Linked DNA regions of Rattus norvegicus. The protein of the gene in region 2 binds, or shares a complex with, the protein of the main gene of each other region. Links are inferred from orthologs where the notes say so. Each region holds a gene or a part of one and is shown on either strand. Other genes may lie near its edges.

Evidence for each region.
Region 1: the proteins of Cltc (region 2) and Cltb are in contact, whole or in part, in a cryo-EM structure (PDB 6SCT), measured with the Sus scrofa proteins. The link is inferred for Rattus norvegicus from reciprocal best matches to the Homo sapiens genes CLTC and CLTB. Residues at the interface, in NP_001139599.1 of Sus scrofa: Gln1291, Arg1293, Gly1294, Phe1296, Lys1326, Phe1327, Gln1354, Ala1355, His1356, Pro1382, Thr1383, Glu1413, Phe1414, Lys1415, Pro1416, Leu1417, Gln1444, Pro1446, Leu1447, Thr1473, Glu1474, Glu1475, Glu1503, Leu1504, Ile1505, Arg1508, Leu1533, Lys1535, Met1538, Lys1562; in XP_005661527.2 of Sus scrofa: Pro100, Ser102, Trp106, Gln110, Leu114, Ser121, Thr124, Glu125, Trp128, Arg129, Ala132, Asp135, Leu136, Trp139, Val147, Asn150, Lys151, Asn154, Arg155, Asp158, Tyr162, Glu191, Trp192, Lys194, Val195, Leu198, Cys199, Asp200, Phe201, Cys209.
Region 3: the proteins of Cltc (region 2) and Arrb1 are in contact, whole or in part, in a crystal structure (PDB 3GC3), measured with the Bos taurus proteins. The link is inferred for Rattus norvegicus from reciprocal best matches to the Homo sapiens genes CLTC and ARRB1. Residues at the interface, in NP_776448.1 of Bos taurus: His12, Leu13, Gln14, Gln16, Asn17, Leu18, Gly19, Val50, Asn56, Asp57, Pro58, Ser59, Asn60, Ile62, Arg63, Arg64, Pro65, Ile66, Ser67, Ala68, Lys78, Ile80, Leu82, Lys83, Ala84, Thr87, Gln89, Phe91, Asn92, Ile93; in NP_776668.1 of Bos taurus: His30, Ile31, Asp32, Leu33, Val34, Glu35, Pro36, Pro96, Thr98, Arg99, Tyr173, Pro175, Lys355, Thr374, Asn375, Leu376, Ile377, Glu378, Leu379, Asp380.
Region 4: the proteins of Cltc (region 2) and Gtse1 are in contact, whole or in part, in a crystal structure (PDB 6QNP), measured with the Homo sapiens proteins. The link is inferred for Rattus norvegicus from reciprocal best matches to the Homo sapiens genes CLTC and GTSE1. Residues at the interface, in NP_004850.1 of Homo sapiens: Val50, Arg64, Pro65, Ile66, Ser67, Ala68, Leu82, Lys83, Ala84, Thr87, Gln89, Phe91, Asn92, Ile93, Lys96, Ser97, Lys98, Asp143, Arg144, His145, Trp164, Gln182, Leu183, Tyr184, Ser185, Arg188, Lys189, Val190, Ser191, Gln192; in NP_057510.5 of Homo sapiens: Ser686, Arg687, Pro688, Leu689, Ile690, Asp691, Leu692, Met693, Ser707, Pro708, Val709, Val710, Gly711, Gln712, Leu713, Ile714, Asp715, Leu716, Ser718.
Region 5: the proteins of Cltc (region 2) and Dlgap5 are in contact, whole or in part, in a crystal structure (PDB 7ZX4), measured with the Homo sapiens proteins. The link is inferred for Rattus norvegicus from reciprocal best matches to the Homo sapiens genes CLTC and DLGAP5. Residues at the interface, in NP_004850.1 of Homo sapiens: Val50, Arg64, Pro65, Ile66, Ser67, Ala68, Leu82, Lys83, Ala84, Thr87, Gln89, Phe91, Ile93, Lys96, Ser97, Lys98; in NP_055565.3 of Homo sapiens: Gly833, Asn834, Leu835, Ile836, Thr837, Phe838, Ser839, Pro840, Leu841.

The regions. Positions count from the first base shown.
Region 1 is NC_086035.1:10,005,269-10,009,523, forward strand, and holds the start of Cltb (clathrin light chain B), read left to right. Parts: upstream 1-1,446; 5' UTR 1,447-1,474; coding exon 1,475-1,661; intron 1,662-4,255. UniProt on the Homo sapiens protein: Clathrin is the major protein of the polyhedral coat of coated pits and vesicles.
Region 2 is NC_086028.1:72,025,690-72,029,202, forward strand, and holds part of Cltc (clathrin heavy chain 1), read right to left. Parts: intron 2,674-3,513; coding exon 2,528-2,673; intron 2,071-2,527; coding exon 1,887-2,070; intron 1,703-1,886; coding exon 1,510-1,702; intron 777-1,509; coding exon 619-776; intron 1-618. UniProt on the Homo sapiens protein: Clathrin is the major protein of the polyhedral coat of coated pits and vesicles. Two different adapter protein complexes link the clathrin lattice either to the plasma membrane or to the trans-Golgi network.
Region 3 is NC_086019.1:163,305,711-163,309,223, forward strand, and holds part of Arrb1 (beta-arrestin-1), read left to right. Parts: exon of another isoform or gene 1-582; intron 583-588; coding exon 589-724; intron 725-2,021; coding exon 2,022-2,106; intron 2,107-2,495; coding exon 2,496-2,568; intron 2,569-3,513. UniProt on the Homo sapiens protein: Functions in regulating agonist-mediated G-protein coupled receptor (GPCR) signaling by mediating both receptor desensitization and resensitization processes.
Region 4 is NC_086025.1:118,836,664-118,840,176, forward strand, and holds part of Gtse1 (G2 and S phase-expressed protein 1), read left to right. Parts: intron 1-535; coding exon 536-910; intron 911-3,513. UniProt on the Homo sapiens protein: May be involved in p53-induced cell cycle arrest in G2/M phase by interfering with microtubule rearrangements that are required to enter mitosis. Overexpression delays G2/M phase progression.
Region 5 is NC_086033.1:23,116,672-23,120,183, forward strand, and holds part of Dlgap5 (disks large-associated protein 5), read right to left. Parts: intron 3,286-3,512; coding exon 3,108-3,285; intron 2,943-3,107; coding exon of another isoform or gene 2,861-2,942; exon of another isoform or gene 665-2,860; intron 647-664; coding exon 586-646; intron 1-585. UniProt on the Homo sapiens protein: Potential cell cycle regulator that may play a role in carcinogenesis of cancer cells. Mitotic phosphoprotein regulated by the ubiquitin-proteasome pathway.

The DNA.
Region 1 (4,255 bases), on a different chromosome or scaffold from region 2:
TTGTGAGTCACCATGTGGTTGCTGGGAATTGAACTCAGGACCTCTGGAAGAGCAGTCAGTGCTTTTTTTTTTCCTTTTTTTTCTTTTTTTCTTTTCTATTTTTCGGAGCTGGGGACCGAACCCAGGGCCTTGTGCTTGCTAGGCAAGCGACCTACCACTGAGCTAAATCCCCAACCCCCAGTCAGTGCTCTTAACCGCTGAGCCATCTCTCCAGCCCCGTGAAATGCTTTTCTGAGGCTGACATCAACCGTGAACCCACTGAAGCTCTGAGTACCTTCACTGCAGCTACCTGTACAAGACCATCCCTCCGGCAGCAGCGTTAATTGAGCTCAGTGGGTTATTAACACCAAAAAGGAGAGAATATGAAGGGGGAGGGCAATTGTTGGGGGGGTACCTGGGAGGCCTGAGATAAGTGAGGGGGGTGCATATGATCAAAATACATTACTTGTATGTATAAAATTGTCAAAGAAAAAAAAAAAAAGAGAGAGAGAGTTATCTCCGGGCAGTGGTGGTGCATGCCTTTAATCCCAACCCCAGAGGCAGAGCACGCGCAGATCTCTGTGAATTTGAGCCCAGTCTTATCTACAGCATGAGCTCCAGGAATAGCCAGGAATACACGCAACAACCCTGCCTTGAAAAACAAAAACACATCCAAAAAAAAAAAAAGGATATTCTATTTTTTTTTAAAGGTCACTAGTCTAGTTTGAAGCCTCAACTATACATTCAAGGTCAGATAGGCTACATTAAAAAAAAAAGCGAAAATGATTGCAGTGAGAGTTTGAGGCATGACATACAATCTGCTGTCTCAAAACATATATTGTTAATTACCAAAGAAAATGGCAACTTTACTGTGGAGAGAACAGGCTCCACCTGTACTGAATGATCAACGTGAACCTAACCAATAATGGGACAAACTGACATTCTGCTGTAAGAACTCGGTCACATTAATCTGAATAACTAAAGAAAGAGCTCAAGTGGAGAGACAAAACAATCAGCCAGTTGCCTTCTCGAACATCAATGTCACCAGACACAGAGAAAGAGGAACCGTCCCTGATTTCAGGGGATCATCACACAGATAGGGCGGCGGGATGATTCGTGCCGTCCTAGGCCAAGAGAACAAGGCTCTGCTGCGCGCACCGGGCACTCAGCTCCCTCCTCCTACGCAGGAAAAGGGCGTTCATATCACGCAGCTACAAAAATAGGAGAAACTTTTCCGTGAATGGACCCGGGCGGGCTCGGGAGGCTTGCACGCTCTGGGGCTGGTGAGGCGGTAGGTGGGCTGCCCCGGGGCTCGAACCGAGGGCGGGGCGACCACCCAGCCCCGCGGGCCCCGCCCTCGGCCGCTGACGTCACCACATTCCCGCCGCGACTCCTCCCGCCGCCGCTGCAGCCGCAGTGACAGGCAAGCCCGGCGGGTGACGGGAAGTGCGGGCCGCGGGTGCGGGCGGGAGGTGACAGCAGCCACGCGGGGAAGATGGCTGAGGACTTCGGCTTCTTCTCGTCGTCGGAGAGCGGGGCCCCCGAGGCCGCCGAGGAGGACCCGGCGGCCGCCTTCCTGGCCCAGCAGGAGAGCGAGATTGCTGGCATCGAGAATGACTCGGGTTTCGGGGCACCTGCCGCCAGCCAGGTGGCCTCTGCGCAGCCCGGACTCGCGAGCGGGGGTGAGTCAGCGCAGCGGCCTGGAACGGGGGGCCGAGGCCACCACCGGGGGCGGGAGGCCCAGTCTCGATCAGACCCGGCCTGGGTTCCTGCAGTAGTCTGAACCCAGCTATCCAGGGTGACCAGGGGTACCCCGGGGGGCTGTGTGTATCTGTGAGGCCTGGGAAAAGAGGGAGGAGCCGGGAGATGAGTTGGAGCCTGCGCTGAGGCTGGATCTGCTGACTCTGGGGACAGGAATTTTAGTCATGACATTTCATCTCCAGGCCAACTCCTCCACCGTCTGGCTCTGGAACCCTCCCCCTGCTCGGTTCTGAGACTGTCCCATTGTCCTAGCTAAGTGGTACAGGTGTGGGACAGACACAGTCCTCCTGACCCAGGAGGGCTTAGCGTTCCATTCTGCAAGGAAGCAGGGGGCGCTCGCAGGAGAACTCGCAGCAGCTCTTCCTTGGGGACCACCTGCCGTCCTGCAGGAGACAATGTTAATTACATAGAATAATTTCATACACGTTACGGAACCCATTTCAGAACTGGCTTCAAAGGGTGTTAAAACAACTAGGAAGTAGCAATCGAGAATTAAACCCCTTCTGTCGGATGCTGAGTCTTGTCCGTACCACACAGTCTTTCAAGAGCCTGACTGTAGGTCTGGACAGGGGCACACATGACCATGGGCTGTACCCTTCCTGTTTGTTCTTATAAATATACTTAAATATTTAGTAAAAATATGAACCTTCCTGGTTGCACTCCTAATAGATCTTGTTTCCTTTCTTTTCTTTCTTTCTTTCTTTTTTTTTTTTTTTCTTTTTTGGTGTCATGTTAAAGAGGTTTAATGGGTCCTGTTGGAAATAAGAATTGTAGATATTATGTTTATCTTCCTTTCATTCAACATTTTACTGTGTTGCCATCCCTGCTGGGGACACAGAAAGAAGAAGAAACTGTATCTATGGCCAAGCAGTTGAATGAACTCTGACATAAGAGTGTAATAAGCCTTCTGTAACATACACGAAGCTAGAGTTTGAGGGATTATCAGGATGGCTTGGGGAGTCAAGGTAAATCAACCCAGGTGATGACACCTGAGCTCGGTTCGTGGAAACCACGTGGTAGAGAGAACTCACGCCCACAAATTGTCCTCTGACCTCACATACAAGTGTGCGCTGTACACACAAAACACACACATAAATAAGACATAGATAATAATAATAATTAAAAAGAAAAAAACCCTGGAGTTTGAATGTCTTGCCTAGGGCCACACAGCCATGAATGATAGGTCTTGGGGTCTTCTTAGGGGATGATTGGATAAGGCAAGGAGCAGCAGGGTCTAGCCAAGCCATCCATGCAGGTCTGAAATAGCAGCTCTCAGTACCTCAACATAGGCCCTTCATTGTCCCAGTGAAGCTACCTAAGTTCCTGCATGGGACTCACTTGTCCACGGTTACCCCTTGAGAACAGTCTTTTCCCTCGTTAGGAGGTCCCAGGTTGTCAGAAACTCAGGAGAAAGACAGATGCGGTTCGGGCTGAGGATGGCCACATGAACCTGGGATTTTGCAAGTTGTCATCTTTCCTAGGGACTGACAATCTGAGTGGGTAGGGCACTGAATGGCCCTAGATATGAGATAACCTGGAGGGGGACAGTGGGGATAATCCTTAGGGGAGCTGCCAGGGACATGGCCCTCTGAGAGTCTCCCGGACTCCTACATTTGATGCTGCAGGTGCCCAGCTGCCCTTCGGAGTGACAGTTTGGGGAAGAAGGGGATGCTTCAGGAGGGAGTTCAACGGCTGTTCAAGCATAAAAAGAAGGGACCCCATTCTGGGGTTGAGGATTTAGCTCAGTGGTAGAGTGCTTGCCTAGCAAGCACAAGGCCCTGGGTTCGGTCCCCAGCTCCGAAAAAAAAAAAAAAAAAAAGGGACCCCATTCTCCAAAGCCCAGATGGTGGGACACACCTCTGCATCGCAGGGAATGGTAGAAGCCTGGGTGGTCTGAGGTGAACTGTCTGGGCCTTCTGGGAGCTGAAAAGAATCTGATTCTAACAGCAGCCACCAATGCACACCTCTGAGTCACCTCCCTTAGACAATGAGGTCTTCTGATAGCAGTTCTGTGCGGGAGTTCAACTGCTTCACTGCGCTGGCTCTCAGGCTGGCTGCCTGGGGAAAGCTGTGTCTGGCTTAGGCCTGAACCGGAACCCCACTGAGCCTTCCCTCTCGCCAGATCTGCAGCGGGCCTGAGCCGCGGATACTTTGTTTCCATTCATCAGCCTTGGGCACTGCCCAAATGCTCTACACTTTCACACCCTGTTCTCCCGGCTCTTGGCTAGACTGACTTATGGGCCAGCTCCGTGTAATCCTATTGCCCCTGCTGGCCTCAGTAAGCTCTCAGGAATGTTCTGGATCCTTTGCCCTTATTCCCGAGGAGGTTGCACACCAAAAACCCTATCCTTGGGACTCGTTATTTGCCTTGCTGTGTTTGTTCTGCCGGGCACTGTTTTAGAGTTGGAATCCTAAATGTGCAAGAGCCCTGTGGGGATACACGCTGGTGATTCCGAGAGTGAGTGTGTATGCTGTCCCAAAGAGGCTAACAATGACCCATTTTCCTGGAGGCCTG
Region 2 (3,513 bases):
TACACCAAAGGAAAAGATATGCATATGCTGTAATCCAGCACCCAGAAGTTGATGCAGTTTACCAAGTTTAAAGACACATCCTTCATGCCACTGAGGAATTCCATCTCAAAAATTACAAATAAAATGAATGAACATATACACACTCCTAAGAACAGTTTAATTTCATAGTCCTAACACATTGATTCTGCCAGGGTGGTAAGCTGCTCATTGAATTTTCATGTGTTAAAATGTGGAGGTAGGAAGATAACTCAGTTGGAAAGTACTTGCCGTGTAAACAATAGGATGTGAGTTAATATCCATGACCCACATAAAAAGTCAGGTGTGGTGTGTGCTTGGAATCCCAGCAGAGTGGTAGGTCAGTCTTTTGTGCTTGCTGGCCAGCTAGCTCAAATTACTTAGACCCATGCCAACAAGAGACCCTGTTGTTTTTTTCTAAGTGGATGGTTTCTAAGGAATAAAAATAAAGCCTGCCCTTGGCCTTCATATGCACTTTTATGCGAGCATCCCACTAAACACGCGCGCGCGCGCACACACGCACACACACACACACACACACACACACACACACACACACACACACACACACGAGAGGGGAGGGAATTTAAACAGGAAACTCACTTGCTGAATATGAGCATTATTTGGCCCATTGATGAACTCTTCTAATTCTGCAAGACGGTTTGTTTTAGCCAGTGCAAATATCAATTCTGTCTCCACGTAGGACTCTCGGGCCTTCTTGCGTGCCATCTGCAAATACTTCACCAATTCTTCCCAGTTTCCTAAATAAAGAGAAAAATAAGCCCATAAACTAGCACTCTTATATTTCCAACCAAATATGTTAGATGTCCCCCTGCTAATTTGTTTTTTGAGAGTGTCATGCTATGTATATAGCCTAGGCAGTCCGTGAATTTAAGGCCTCCTGCCTCAGTGGCAGGAGTACATCACCACACCAGCTTAACTCTTTTTTCAAAGAAATATTATGTAGAATGACAAATGTAAAACTGGATATATCTAAAGTCTAAAAATTCCACTACACGTCTGTATTATTACTGCCCTAAAATTGCTTGATACTTCTCCCCACTTTAAAGTTATATACTAGAGCTCTATCAGGATTTTATCAGACCTCAAAACAAAATTAATTTTCTCCATGGATTTTCTTTTTTTTTTTTAATTTATTCATTTATTATATATAAGTACACTGTAGCTGTCTTCAGACACACCAGAAGAGGGCATCGGATCTCTTTATAGATGGTTGTGAGCCACCATGTGGTTGCTGGGAATTGAACTCAGGACCTCTGGAAGAGCAGTCGGTGCTCTTAACCGCTGAGCCATCTCTCCAGCCCCCTGGATTTTCTAAATTCATATAATTCAGTCAGTCTGAGATGCTGAGCTGAACGTTTTCACAAGTAACCAGGGAGTGCTAACCTCTATACTAGCAAAAGTATAGAATGTACTGAATGTTTGGCTTAGTAATTGTTTGGAGGTCTTAAAGACATAGACAAGAAGCCTTACCACTAGTATTGGCGGCCTGAACAACTTCCATGTAAGACGAAGGATCATCTGCTTTGATGTAAGAATCAATGGCTTCCTTCACCATCCCTTTCTGCAACTGAGCTTTTGCGAGTTGACTCCAAACAGCAGGCTCATTGCAGCGTTCAGCAAACTCATATGCACGATCCAGGTTTCCAATATGTTCAATTAACACCTGGGCAACATTTTTGAATTGGTGTTACAGTAAAATGGATCTTACCCAACAGAATTACATTTAAACAGACAGCATTTTATGATTATTCTGTGAAAGCAATCTGTGCACACGCTCACAAGACAATATATTCTTAACATCAAGACATTAGAGTCAGTATCTCAATTTATGTAACTTCATGATTTACCTGCACTGCTGAAGTATTGACATCAAACTTCCGGAAAATAGCAAATGCTTCTTCGAAGAGCTCATTGCTGATGGCAATGTTGGCAATATCTGGCGCATCATAATTGTCCAGGCGGTTAATATACTCCATAACTCGGGTTCGGTCAGCCTTAATTGCAGTGAGGATGAGGAGGTTTTGCAGATTCCTTAAGAAACAAACATTCAACACAATGTTTAAAAAGGTCATCAATGATGAGGAAACACTGTGGCACTAGACGGTTACTTGTGTCAAGGTCAAGGTAAGAAGAGACAGTATTAGGAGAGTAACAATCAAGAAAGCTGCCTAGTTGGGGATTTAGCTCAGTGGTAGAGCACTTGCCTAGGAAGCGCAAGGCCCTGGGTTCGGTCCCCAGCTCCGAAAAAAAAAAAAAGTTTAAAAAAGGTGATTACTTTTGGGGCTGGGGATTTAGCTCAGTGGTAGAGCGCTTACCTAGGAAGCGCAAGGCCCTGGGTTCGATCCCCAGCTCCGAAAAAAAGAACCAAAAAAAAAAAAAAAAAAAAAAAAAAAGAAAGCTGCCTATTCACTTTGTTTCTGTTCCTTCCCCAAACTGACAGGCCACAGTGAAAGACTGAGAAAGCCAATGCAATCCCCTGCCAGCTTACCTGTGTTCACTGAATACAGAGTTATCAAGGACAATTTTCTCCAGCAGCTCAATGAGTTCATTAGGAAGATCTGCTGTCATAAAAGCCTTGACAGTTACTGACACTTCTTCTGGGTCCTGAGTTTCAGACAAGGCTGTCTGTACGACCTACAAAGGACATACATGGAAGAGTTAAAAAAATAAAAAAATAAAAAATCAAGGTGTTTTTAAAAAGACATTGGCTGGTAACAATAAGTTAGTTAACATCTCAATAGAAAATCTCAAATAGAAGGAAAAATGCCCTTTCTACTCGAAGACCTTTGTACACAATATACATGGACACACATTGTTTATAATTATGTTCCCATCAGCAGTTATGTCACTTGCACTTTCCCTGATAGAACACTATCCATGATAACTTATCACTATTACTGTAATGGGTCCTCATCTTCAAATCCCTAGACACAGATTAGGAAATGAACAACCCTCGTTTGTCTACTTCCATATGCCCAGATGCCATGAGTGCAGGAAGCTTTATCTACATGGGAATGCGCCTTGGAAATGCTTTCTAGAGAGTGTGTGTCACTCTCTTTTTGTGTGTCAGAAGAATTTAAGAATCATTATTATAACAAGCAATAATTAGCGCTTTAAATTCAAGATTTCAATTTCATATAGGTATAAAAATCTCCACTGCAGTGCTGTGTTACTTAGTTAGAATTCTTATACTGGTTTGGGTACAGTGTGTGCATGAAGGTGTACAGGTGCTGTGTCTTGCCAGTCACCAGCATGCTCCAGAGGTCTTCCTGTCTGCCTACCCAGCCCTGCTTGTAGGCGATGCTAGTAACCAGAAACTGGGTCACACTTACCAATAATCTTCATGATACTTGGAATTTAGAAAAGAATTGGAGATAGAATCTTGCTACACTCACAGGATGATGTTAATTAACTCAAACTCATACTCTTTCTTTCTCTCTCAAACTCCTAAGTACTAGGGACTTTAAGCTGTTA
Region 3 (3,513 bases), on a different chromosome or scaffold from region 2:
ATGAGGGAACTGATGCACAGGGAGGTAATTTCCCCAGAGCATGCCGTAACTCGCCAGCTCAGTCTGTCCCGGCTTCTACCCTAAGCCCTGTGACCTCCATTGAACTCTCATTCGTGGGCCTCTCTGAGTCACCTCTTCACTGTCCTGCACTCTTGGCTGAATCCACATCCTATAATGGACATCCTCCTCCATGAGGGCTGTTAGTTCTGCACACTTCCACTTAGCAAGTGCCAGGCGGCAGGTGCTGACCCACGTGCTGAGACTGTGGTGGTGAACCAGCTAGGTAAGAAGTTCCCATCCTCCAGTGGCTCACGCGATCAGGAGACAGGGAGCAAGAAGTAAAAAATAGTCCCTTTCTTACTATTTATTGTGCTGGGTCCTGGGATCCACAGACCCAAATGAAGCACTGCTGTCGAATGGCTCAGGGACAGGGTTGAGGAGGCTGGGGCTGTGTCACATGGTGACAAACCCTCCAGGTTAACCACCGTGATTGGCGAGCAAGAGGGAGCTGCAGTAGCCACTTGAGCAGAGAAGGGAGTGTGGGGGCCGGTGACTCTGTCTGTCTTTCTCCCCATCCATCTTCTTTAGGAATTCTGTGCGGCTAGTCATCCGGAAGGTTCAATATGCCCCTGAGAGGCCTGGCCCTCAGCCCACGGCTGAGACCACCAGACAGTTCCTCATGTCGGACAAGCCCCTGCACCTTGAGGCATCTCTGGATAAGGAGGTAAGAGACTCAGATCCCATTGTCCCCAGCTCTACTACCCCTCAGATCCCAGTGTCTCCTGACAGCCCTTAAGTGTTTGCAGAACCCTGTTGTGGTTCAAAGGACTGACAGAGGTAGGCATGGGCATTTACAGGATGGGAGCAATGGAAGGGTTCTGGTCCTTCTCTTCACACTCTGATAATTGCCTGCTTGAGACCGGGTGGAGAAGCCCAGCACATCAGCAGGGGTGATGATGGGAAAGAGGACCCAAGGATGCCTTGCTATTACCCTCTTATCTATGAGCAAGAAGGTGAAAAACCCTTGAAGTCAGGTGACTAAGCCAACTGACTGGGGTGTAGGAGTGCACCTCCTCCTTCTTGGGGCAGCTAAAGGCAAGGGCCTGGACGAGTGGTGGAATTCTCTAAGAATTCCGAGCAGGTCCTTTAGTTGGTTAGCCTTTCCTCTCTTCTCCTGAATTTTCCAGAGTTTAATGTGTCTGCGAACCCAGACCATCAGAGCCCACAGGGACTTGAGGCCTTGCTCTGTCCAAGCCTGCACATAGAATAAGGAGAAGCAGAGTCTCAGATAACCTGTCCAAGGTCATGCAATGTTTATCATCATTGCTATTATTGTTGTTTGAGCTAGTGATCAGAATGGGACTGGAGCCGAGGATGTCAGCTTCTTTTTCTTTTTCCTATGTGTGTATGTGGGCGTGCATGGGTGCATGGGTGCTTGTGTATGTGTGTGTGTATGTGGTATGTATATGTGCGTGTGTATGTGTGTGTGATGTATGTGTGTGTGTGGTATGTATGTGTGTGTATGTATGTGTGGTGTGTGTGTGTGTGTGTGTGTGTGTGTGTGTGTGTGCACGTGTGCCCACACATGCATGTGTGTGGACCTGGAGGACAATCTTGAAGGTGTCATTCTCAGAAATGCCATCCAGCTCCTTTGAGGCAGTCTGTCAGTGGTACAGAGCTTACCTGGGCTAGATTCTGTGGGCATTGAGCCCCAGGGGTCCTCTTGTCTCTGCCTTCCTAGTGCTGGGATTACAAGTACCCAGCATTTCTACACAGCTTCTGGAGATCAAACTTAGTTCCTTGTGTTTGCAACACAAGTACTTTACTGACAAAGCCGTCCCCTCAGTCCTGGAATGGAAAGACATCTAGTACAGACGTCTTTGAAAGGTCCTACAGTGGTACTGAAGGTTCATATACACTTGGTAGTTTTGTGACACTTTTATGTCAGTGGGAAGTGGCTGAAGAGCTAGGGGGCAGAGTTTAGTGTCCCTGCCCACACTCTTCTGTCTTTTGCCTCACAGATCTATTATCATGGAGAGCCCATCAGCGTCAATGTCCATGTCACCAACAACACCAACAAGACTGTGAAGAAGATCAAGATCTCGGGTAGCTGGGAATCCTTCTGGGGGGGTGGGATAGCGGCAGGCGTGGTCTTCATTAAAAGCCTGAGACAGTACCATTAGTAGCTTCCTGAAGCTTGCGTCTGCCGGCAGCCTACAGTGGCTTCAAAGCTGGGCAATGGGTTTACTGCCTTGCAGATTCCTTCTTAGGCTTCCTGGGCTCTGGCCAAGCTGTCCTGGGAAGAAAGACTTCGTCATGGAAGGGACTAGGCTTTGATGGGGTTTCTGTTTGGGTGGAGTCTGGGGTGGTGGCCTGTGGTAAATGCTGGCCATTGTCTCAATCTAAGCAAGCACATCTGCCACAGGGAGCTTGAGGTATATCATGAGAGGGACCCCTGACTCATGCGCCCACCTCCCCGGCCCCTCTCTCTCCAGTGCGCCAGTATGCAGACATCTGTCTCTTCAACACAGCTCAGTACAAGTGCCCAGTGGCCATGGAGGAAGCTGAGTAAGTGTGTTTGAAGCCAACTTTGGATGGGTGGGACTAGATAGGAGAAAGGGAAGTTCTGAGTCTAGGACCAGGCATCTTTTTTTTTTTTTTTTTTTTTTTTTTTTTGGTTCTTTTTTTCGGAGCTGGGGACCGAACCCAGGGCCTTGTGCTTCCTAGGTAAGCGCTCTACCACTGAGCTAAATCCCCAGCCCCAGGACCAGGCATCTTTAATCAACCTGCAGAGAGCCGGGCCTCTGCCTTCTTTGACATTCACAGTAGATGGCACGGAAGAGTCTTCCTCCAGGTGCTGACATTATAGGCGTGAGCCAGCCACACCTGCCACTTAGACCTGGTTTCTAATATCCTAGAGACAGAGATGTTAATATCAAACCAACTATTCTTGCATTATTGGATAGTCTCATATTCACTGTTGATTAAAAATGAAGTCCGCAGCCACAAGGCATAGATGTTGGGGGTTCATTGCAACGACCTAGAGCCAGGACAGCATTTAACCCCAGGTGGGACACCATAGTCTGTATATGCATCTGCAGCCTGGAGGAAGGATAGTCGTCTGGGCTTCCAGTGAGCATGGTTTCCCGTGGGGTTGGGCTAGGGGGTTGAGATGTGGCTGGCTCTGCTCCAAGAGGCAAAGCTGGGCCTTACTCCATGGCTGCCCTGGTGTCAGGTGAATGCATCTGTCTCATCTTTGGAAAGGGAGAGGGGGGATAAAATAGCACCAGGCCAGAGTGAACAACGGAGGTTCCTGTACATGACTGATGGATACGCATTAGAGCAAGTAGAGTTTCAGTGGTAGAACCTGGGTAGGAGCTGCCAGACACTTACTCATGGTTTGCATGCAGTGATACTTTTGAAAGTAAACGTGGGCTGAGTAGTTAGGAGCCCTTGCTGTTCCTCTAGAGGACCAGGGTTCATTTTCCAGTCCCCATGTCAGGCAGCTCACAA
Region 4 (3,513 bases), on a different chromosome or scaffold from region 2:
AGAATGCATGGCTGCCACTGTGCAGGAGCTGTGAGGTGGGTCTTTCTCTACTGACTCAGGACACTGGCACCGTGTGTTGTTTATGGTAGAGTCATAGAGTCAGATGAGATAGTGGGGTAGGACGTAGTAGGGCTAACATACCATATAGACATGGCTACAACGGTAACTATTCCCTTAAGTTTCCCCTTGAGTCTTCACTGTGGACTCACACAGTAGGTCCATTGCTTGTCGACTACACTGTCCACTTTCTTCTGCTCATCAAGGAAGCGAAGAAAGAAGAGCTTAGCCTTGTGAGTGCACACACAGGCTGAGAGTTAGACGGTACTCAGCTCAGGTTCACACATCCTGCTGGTCCTCACGGTCATCGCCTAATGGGCATCCAGTATGTCTGATGTTAGCTAGATATTCTAGAGGTGTCATTGTGTGTGTGTGTGTGTGTGTGTGTGTGTGTGTGTGTGTGTGTGTGCGTGCGTGTATGTTTTAAACTGTTTGGAAACTGGCTTGAGTAACCAGCCTTGATTATCAACTTTTGCAGCAAAGTCCAGTGAACTTTCAAGTATTCCCGCTAGCAGCTCCCGGCGTCAGTCAGTCACCAGCAAGTTGGGCAGAGTAGGACTTGCCACGTCACACCAGGCTTTGCCAGCAGCCCCTGCCAGAGCATTTTGCAGACAAGCCAAAAAGGCTGATGCTGCCCAGACAGTGGCAGAGCAGCCCAAGGCCCTCACCCCAAGTCCTCTTGCTCAACAACCCCAGACTCCAAAACACAAAGGACCCAGAGTGGACCTGGACACCGAGACATGTCAGTTGAATAAAACTGTCAGCATAAAACGACAGGACTCCTCTCTAGGCTGCAAGACAGAGGCCGTATCTACCACAACAAACCCATTTAAAGTGCCCCAGTTTTCTGTTGGTAAGTACAGCTACATTGGTCGGTTTTAAGATTTTGGGGAGGCTACTGGTGCGGCTGGTGCTGTTGGCTTCTTTAACTCTGACTCTGTCCAGGGTGTGTTCTGCCACCCTCTTGTGTCCATTTCTCTGGATAAGCCCGCCCCTGGCCTGCGTCTCTCTCACTCTTGTCATCAGTGTGGTTGTCCACAGGTGTGGTGGCTTTTGTCCCACCTGGGTGGTGAGAGCTTCATTGTTCTGTTGCTGTTGCTGTTCTGCTTCTGTGGTTCTGTTTTTAACCCCCTGGACTATGTTTCCCTTAAGGGGCTGAGCTTGGCAACCAGTGAATGTAGCCCAGTCTGCTCCGCTGTCACGGATGGGTCTGGAATGGGCGCTGTTTGGCCTGTTGCAGTGTGGGGTTTTGCACAGGCACTGCTAAGTGTCCTGTTGTTTGCTCGGCCCACTCAGGCTGGGGGCTGTGCTGTTCCTTGTTCTCCGTTAGTTGCTTGTCTCGACCTTGAGGCATCTTGCCTGCACAGTGCTGCCGCTGTGCAGCGCCCTTTCAGGAGATGCTACAGAGTTTTCTAGAGTCATTTTCTCTGTGTTGCTTCTCTCCAGCTCTCTGGCTCTCAGATTCTATACCTCAGTCCCTCAGATGCTAGCCATTGTCCTCTCAGCCAGTAAGACTGTCCTGCTCTGGTTTATCAAAACCAGCATGTTCTGCATAATGAGTTCCTGGCCACCCAGGACCACACAGTGAGACAGTGTTAAAAACAAAACCAAGTATTTCTCGTTTTTTCCTATTTAAAGCTTGGCTCAGGCTGGAGAGATGGCTCAGTGGTTAAGAGCACTGACTGCTCTTCCAGAGGTCCTGAGTTCAATTCCCAGCAACCACATGGGGGCTCACAACCATCTGTAATGGCATCTGATGCCCTCTTCTGGTGTGTCTGAAGACAGCTACAGTGTACTCATACATAAAATAAATTAATAAAAAATAAACAGAAAGCTCTTCACTGAAAATATTTGTTAGAAGAGTTTTAATACCTGTGGGTGTGTGTATGTACTGTGACACACCTGGAGTTCAGAGTATATCTTTTCAGAATTGGTTTTGTCTTTCCACAGTGTGGATAAATATAACATCTTTAACCCAGCACTCAGGAGCCGGAGGCAGGCATATTTAAATTCAAGGCCAGCCTAGTCCAGAAAACAAAGATGAGCCAAGACAGCACAGTAGACCCTGTCTCCAAAGTAAATAAATAAGTAAATAAATGAATAAATAAATAAATAGAACAGAGCCAGCAACAAAAGAAAGACATTGAAAAGGGTTGTCACCGGTCGGTGGGCAGAGGCAGGGGCCTTCTCTGAATGTGATCCCAGTTTGTTTCTTTCAGTCTCCAGAGAGCATAAGAAGCCCCTGAACACACAGCAGTAGTAAGGTTTGATGAGTGGTCAATGCTGAAGTCTTTCTCCTTGGCCTCTGGCCTCTGCCTTTGACTGCAGCAGGCTTCCTGGCTCCCAGCTCTGCCTGTGGTGGTGCTCAGGTGGGCACCCCAGAACCTGTAAGCAGAGAGGAGACTCAGGCACACCATGGCAGCTGCTCTGCTGGCTCTGGTTGGCCAGGGCCCTCTACTCACTGAGGGAAGCAGAGAAAGGTGCATCTCTGGAGTTCAAGGCCAGCTTGATCTACACAGGGAGTTCCAGGATACCTAGAGCTGCACAGTGAGATACTAGTTCAAAAAACAACTACACAACAACAAAGCAACAGTAGGAGGAGGATGGAGAAGAAGGAAAGGGAAACACATCAGACACAGTGGCTTCTGCCTATGATCCCAGTACAGGGGAGACTGGGGCAGGAGATCACAAGTTCTAGGCTAACCTGGGCTACAGAGTGAGACCATGTCCCCAAATAAAACAAAACCCAAGATTTTGGTCTTATCTGAATATCTTTCTTATGCTGTCATGTTTAAAGACAAAGGATCCTATGGTAAGACATCTTACAAAGAATATTTAAGATCTATTTTTTTGTGTGTGATTGTTTTGCCTGAATGTATATGTATACACCTTATGTATGCCATGCCCAGTATAGAAGACAGAACTGGGCTTTAGGTCCCCAGGAACTAGAATTACAGACATGTGAGTTGCCTCGTGGATTAGGGGGTGTGGCCTTGTTGAAGGAGGTGTGTCTCTGGAGGGTGAGCTTTGAAGTTTCAAAAGCCCACTCCGTTTGCAGGTAACTGCCTCATGCTTGTGGTTCAGACGTAAGCTCCCAGCTACTGTCCAGTATCATGCTCGCCTTCTTGCTGCAATGCTTCCTGCCGTGATGGTCATGGACTCTGAAACTGTGGGCCCCAGTTAAATGCTTTCCTCTGTAAGGTACCTGGGTTCTGGTGCCTTACAGCAGTAGAATATTGAAGACAGTTGGAGACGAGATTAGACAGTATTCTAGTTTGCTTTCTGTCACTCCGATAAACACCCAGGACCAAGGCACCTTGAGTTTATTTGGCTTACACTTCCACATCATAGCTCAGCACTGAGGGAAGTCAGAGCAGAGATTCAAGCAAAGACTACAGAGGAATGCTGCCTACCTGCCCAAGGCTGGTACCATTACAGCAGGCTGGACCCTTGCAT
Region 5 (3,512 bases), on a different chromosome or scaffold from region 2:
CATCTGCACAGATCATAAAGAACACCGTGAGGAAGACAGCAGCCTTTTCAGCAAGCGCCCACTCAGCACAGAGTGGCACATGTTTTTGGGAAGAGAAAGTAAATTACAAGAGCAAACTGGGCCTGGTGTCCCCAGGACTCTGGGGCAAGAAGGTTCCAGTTCAAGGCCTACGGAGTGAAGGAAACCAGATGTAATAACACAGACGAGTAGTTACTGTCACCATCAAATCTGGTTCAAAGATTAGAGGCCATGGCAAGAGATGGCTCAGAGGTTAAGAGCACTGGCTGCTCTTCAGAGGGCCTGGGTTTGATTCCCAGCACCCACATGGCAGCTCACAACCGTGTGTAATTCCAGGTCCAGGAGACTATGCACACAGTGAATAGATATACATGCAGGCAAAACACAGAGACAGAAAGCAATTCTTTCAAAGAACTTTAAAGAGGCCATCTTGATGTGTCCTGAAGAACACAGCATGGCTTCAAACACCCCAAGGAACAGTCGAACGGGAACGACGACTCTGCCTGTTAGTGTCTTCATAAACACCACACCCATGGCTGCCTGCCACCACCGCGCACAAGGACTTACACGCTCTACGTCACTTGAATCTTGCTGTACGGGACACAGGATGTCTTCTACTTGGCTGCACCTGAAACGAGCCGTGGTATTATACACCAGTAACGAAACACATCACAGTCATCCACCCTGCATGGAGGCCACTAGCTTGCATAGTGGAACTGAACATAGAGCCTGGCCCAGGAGCCTGCTCCTCTGTACAGACTGGACAGTTTATGATGGCCACACAGACGACGCCCTCTTTCCCTAGAAGCTCACAGGCCCCTTCCCATGCCAACCGCTCAGGCTAATACGGTTCCACCTGCAATGCTGACTGTCAGCCAAACCCAGAGCCACAGGACTGGAACAGGTCAGGGTGAGGCTGGGCTCTGAAGCAAAGCAGCTCAGGCACTGTGAAGCGACTTTGCTGTGTCCTGTGTGACCATTCTTGCTACATAACCCAGGTTGGCTTCTCAACTCTCCTGCCTCAGCTTCCCAAGTGCTGGATCCACAGATGGGCTATCACGCCTGCAAGTTGGCCATGCTTACTTGATAGTATAACTCAATACATTTTAATCATAAACGTAAGTAGAGACCAGATCTGAGCATGTTTGTGCCCACAGACACAGACAGACACAACGAACATAGAAAACAATGCAACTGGAAACAATGACAACGAAGTCCAGGGCTGGCAGAGGGTGCTTGCCTAGCATGTGAAAGCTCTGTGTTCAATCCCAGGACCACCAAAATCAGAACCACAAACCCACTCTTTCGTATGTTAATAAAAAACTTTAAAAAATTTATCTGTCATAGTCTCTTCAGGGGCCAATAAGGTGATTCCTAGGTAAAGGAGCCTGCCACCAAGCCTGGTGACCTGAGCTCACCCCTGGAGCCACATGTTGGGGAGAGAGAACTGCTCGCTGAGAGCTGCCCTCTGGCTTCCACACATGTCACAGCATGCATGCGTGAATCTACACATTCGAAGTAATTAAACAGATTGCAATTTTGTCTTGCTGTGACCAGGATGGCCTCGAACTCACAGAGATCCACCTGCTTCTGCCTCCCGAGTGCTGGAATTAAAGGCATGTGCCACCACTGCCTGGTTCTAAGCTGTTTATTTTTAAGATGCCTTCTTGTAAGATGTTTGCAACAAAACATTTAAAAAACATTTTGTGTGTGTGTGTGTGTGTGTGTGTGTGTGTGTGTGTGTGTGTGTGTATTTGAAGGCCACAGGCTGGCAAAACAAATGCCTTTACCCACTGTTGCTGGTCCCAGAACCTGATTTTGGGAGGGACAATTACAATATAACTCAACTGCTATTACAGATCTTCCTAATACAGATAACGAATATAATTATACAAAGCAGCATGATAATAAATTGGTATCTTAAAAAACACAGATTTTGGGGCTGGAGAGATGGCTCAGTGGTTAAGAGCACTGACTGCTCTTTCAGAGGTCCTGAGTTCAAATCCCAGCAACCACATGGTGGCTCACAACCATCTGTAATAGAATTCAATGCCCTCTTCTGGTGTATCTGAAGACAGTGACAGTGTACTCAAATACATAAATATTAAAAAAAAAAAACACAGATTTTTATAATACCAAAAAGCATTTTTGTGGCCCTAAAAGGTGAAAATGCTTTTGGTATGTATTAAAGAATAGTTAAGGACTTCCATGTGCCTCTTCTATTTTGACGCACAGGGCCTGCCCCCACCCCATGCCACACTTAGTGGTATGTTTTTACAATGAGGAGTGTTCAATATTTTCCAAAGTTCAGATTAGTAACAAGCCCCGCATCTTCTCCAGACATCAGAGTACAGCTTCCTACTCCTCACGGTTCCCTTTCCCTCTCAGATGAGCCGCTGTAAGCGCAGCAGGCTAAGCTGATGCGACTGTGTAGAGAACGGATCAGCTGGGTCAATCGCAAGCTCAACCTCACTAGGATACACTTGGGTTTCTCCTCCAGCGTCTGGCATGGCTACTGTAAGGGCTGTCACGAGTTAACGTCCTAAAGCGATGTCTACACACTGGGCATCTTCTCTATAACCACGGTACGAGGGCACGAGCCTCTTCACCCCCACCAACGGCAGAGCGCTCCTGTTCCACAGATGAGGAGAGTGAGGCTGAGCGAATGACTTGTCCCACGTGCTCAAGCTGCATGCCACATGGGTGGCTTTGAGCTGAGATCTGCCGTGCACAGAAGACACCACACTGCTTCTCTCCCATGTACCGCACTTTTGCCATTCACAACAGGACCACTTATCAACTTCAGTCTTGGTGCTTTCTCTTAAGACACTGGTGTTTGTTGCTAAGGCTGGTTCCAAACTGCTGGTAATACTCCTTCCACCTCAGTCTCCTGAGTGGCTTGGACTACTCCAGTTGACGCCAACCTGAAACAGGACGTCTGTTTCCTCAGAATACAGCCAGACTTGCCCACAGTGCGGGGTTATAAGTTTAATTAGAAACGTACAGCTGTCACACTCCACCAGCTTAACTGTATGGAATGGCAGCTCACGTCAACACGGTTAATCTCACAATACACATTAAAGAGATACCTGCTTTCAAGTCCATCTGAAAACGTCCGATCAACATGCTCGATCGTGCTGCTCTGCGGGTCAGGCCTCTTCAGTGGCGTCTTCTGTCTGAGAAGGTCCCCTGCAGCCCTGCCCTCAGGCACAGCTCTGCTGGCAGACACGTGTGCTCCGAATTGAGAACGACGTTCAGAGGACAGGACTAGAAAAGAAAAAACAACCTCCATCGCAAGTCTTTTCGATCATTTTTTTGTTTAGAAAGGCAGTACAGAGCCTACTCTTGTTACTGCCGGTGCCAGGAACCTTCTGTGACAAGAGGATTACCACGTTAGCCCATGCTTCGCTTTGCTATGCCGTGCCCACGATGCAGACAACCGTGTAGGTAAGCATGCATATACATAAAATAAAACACTAAAACTTACAATAAGC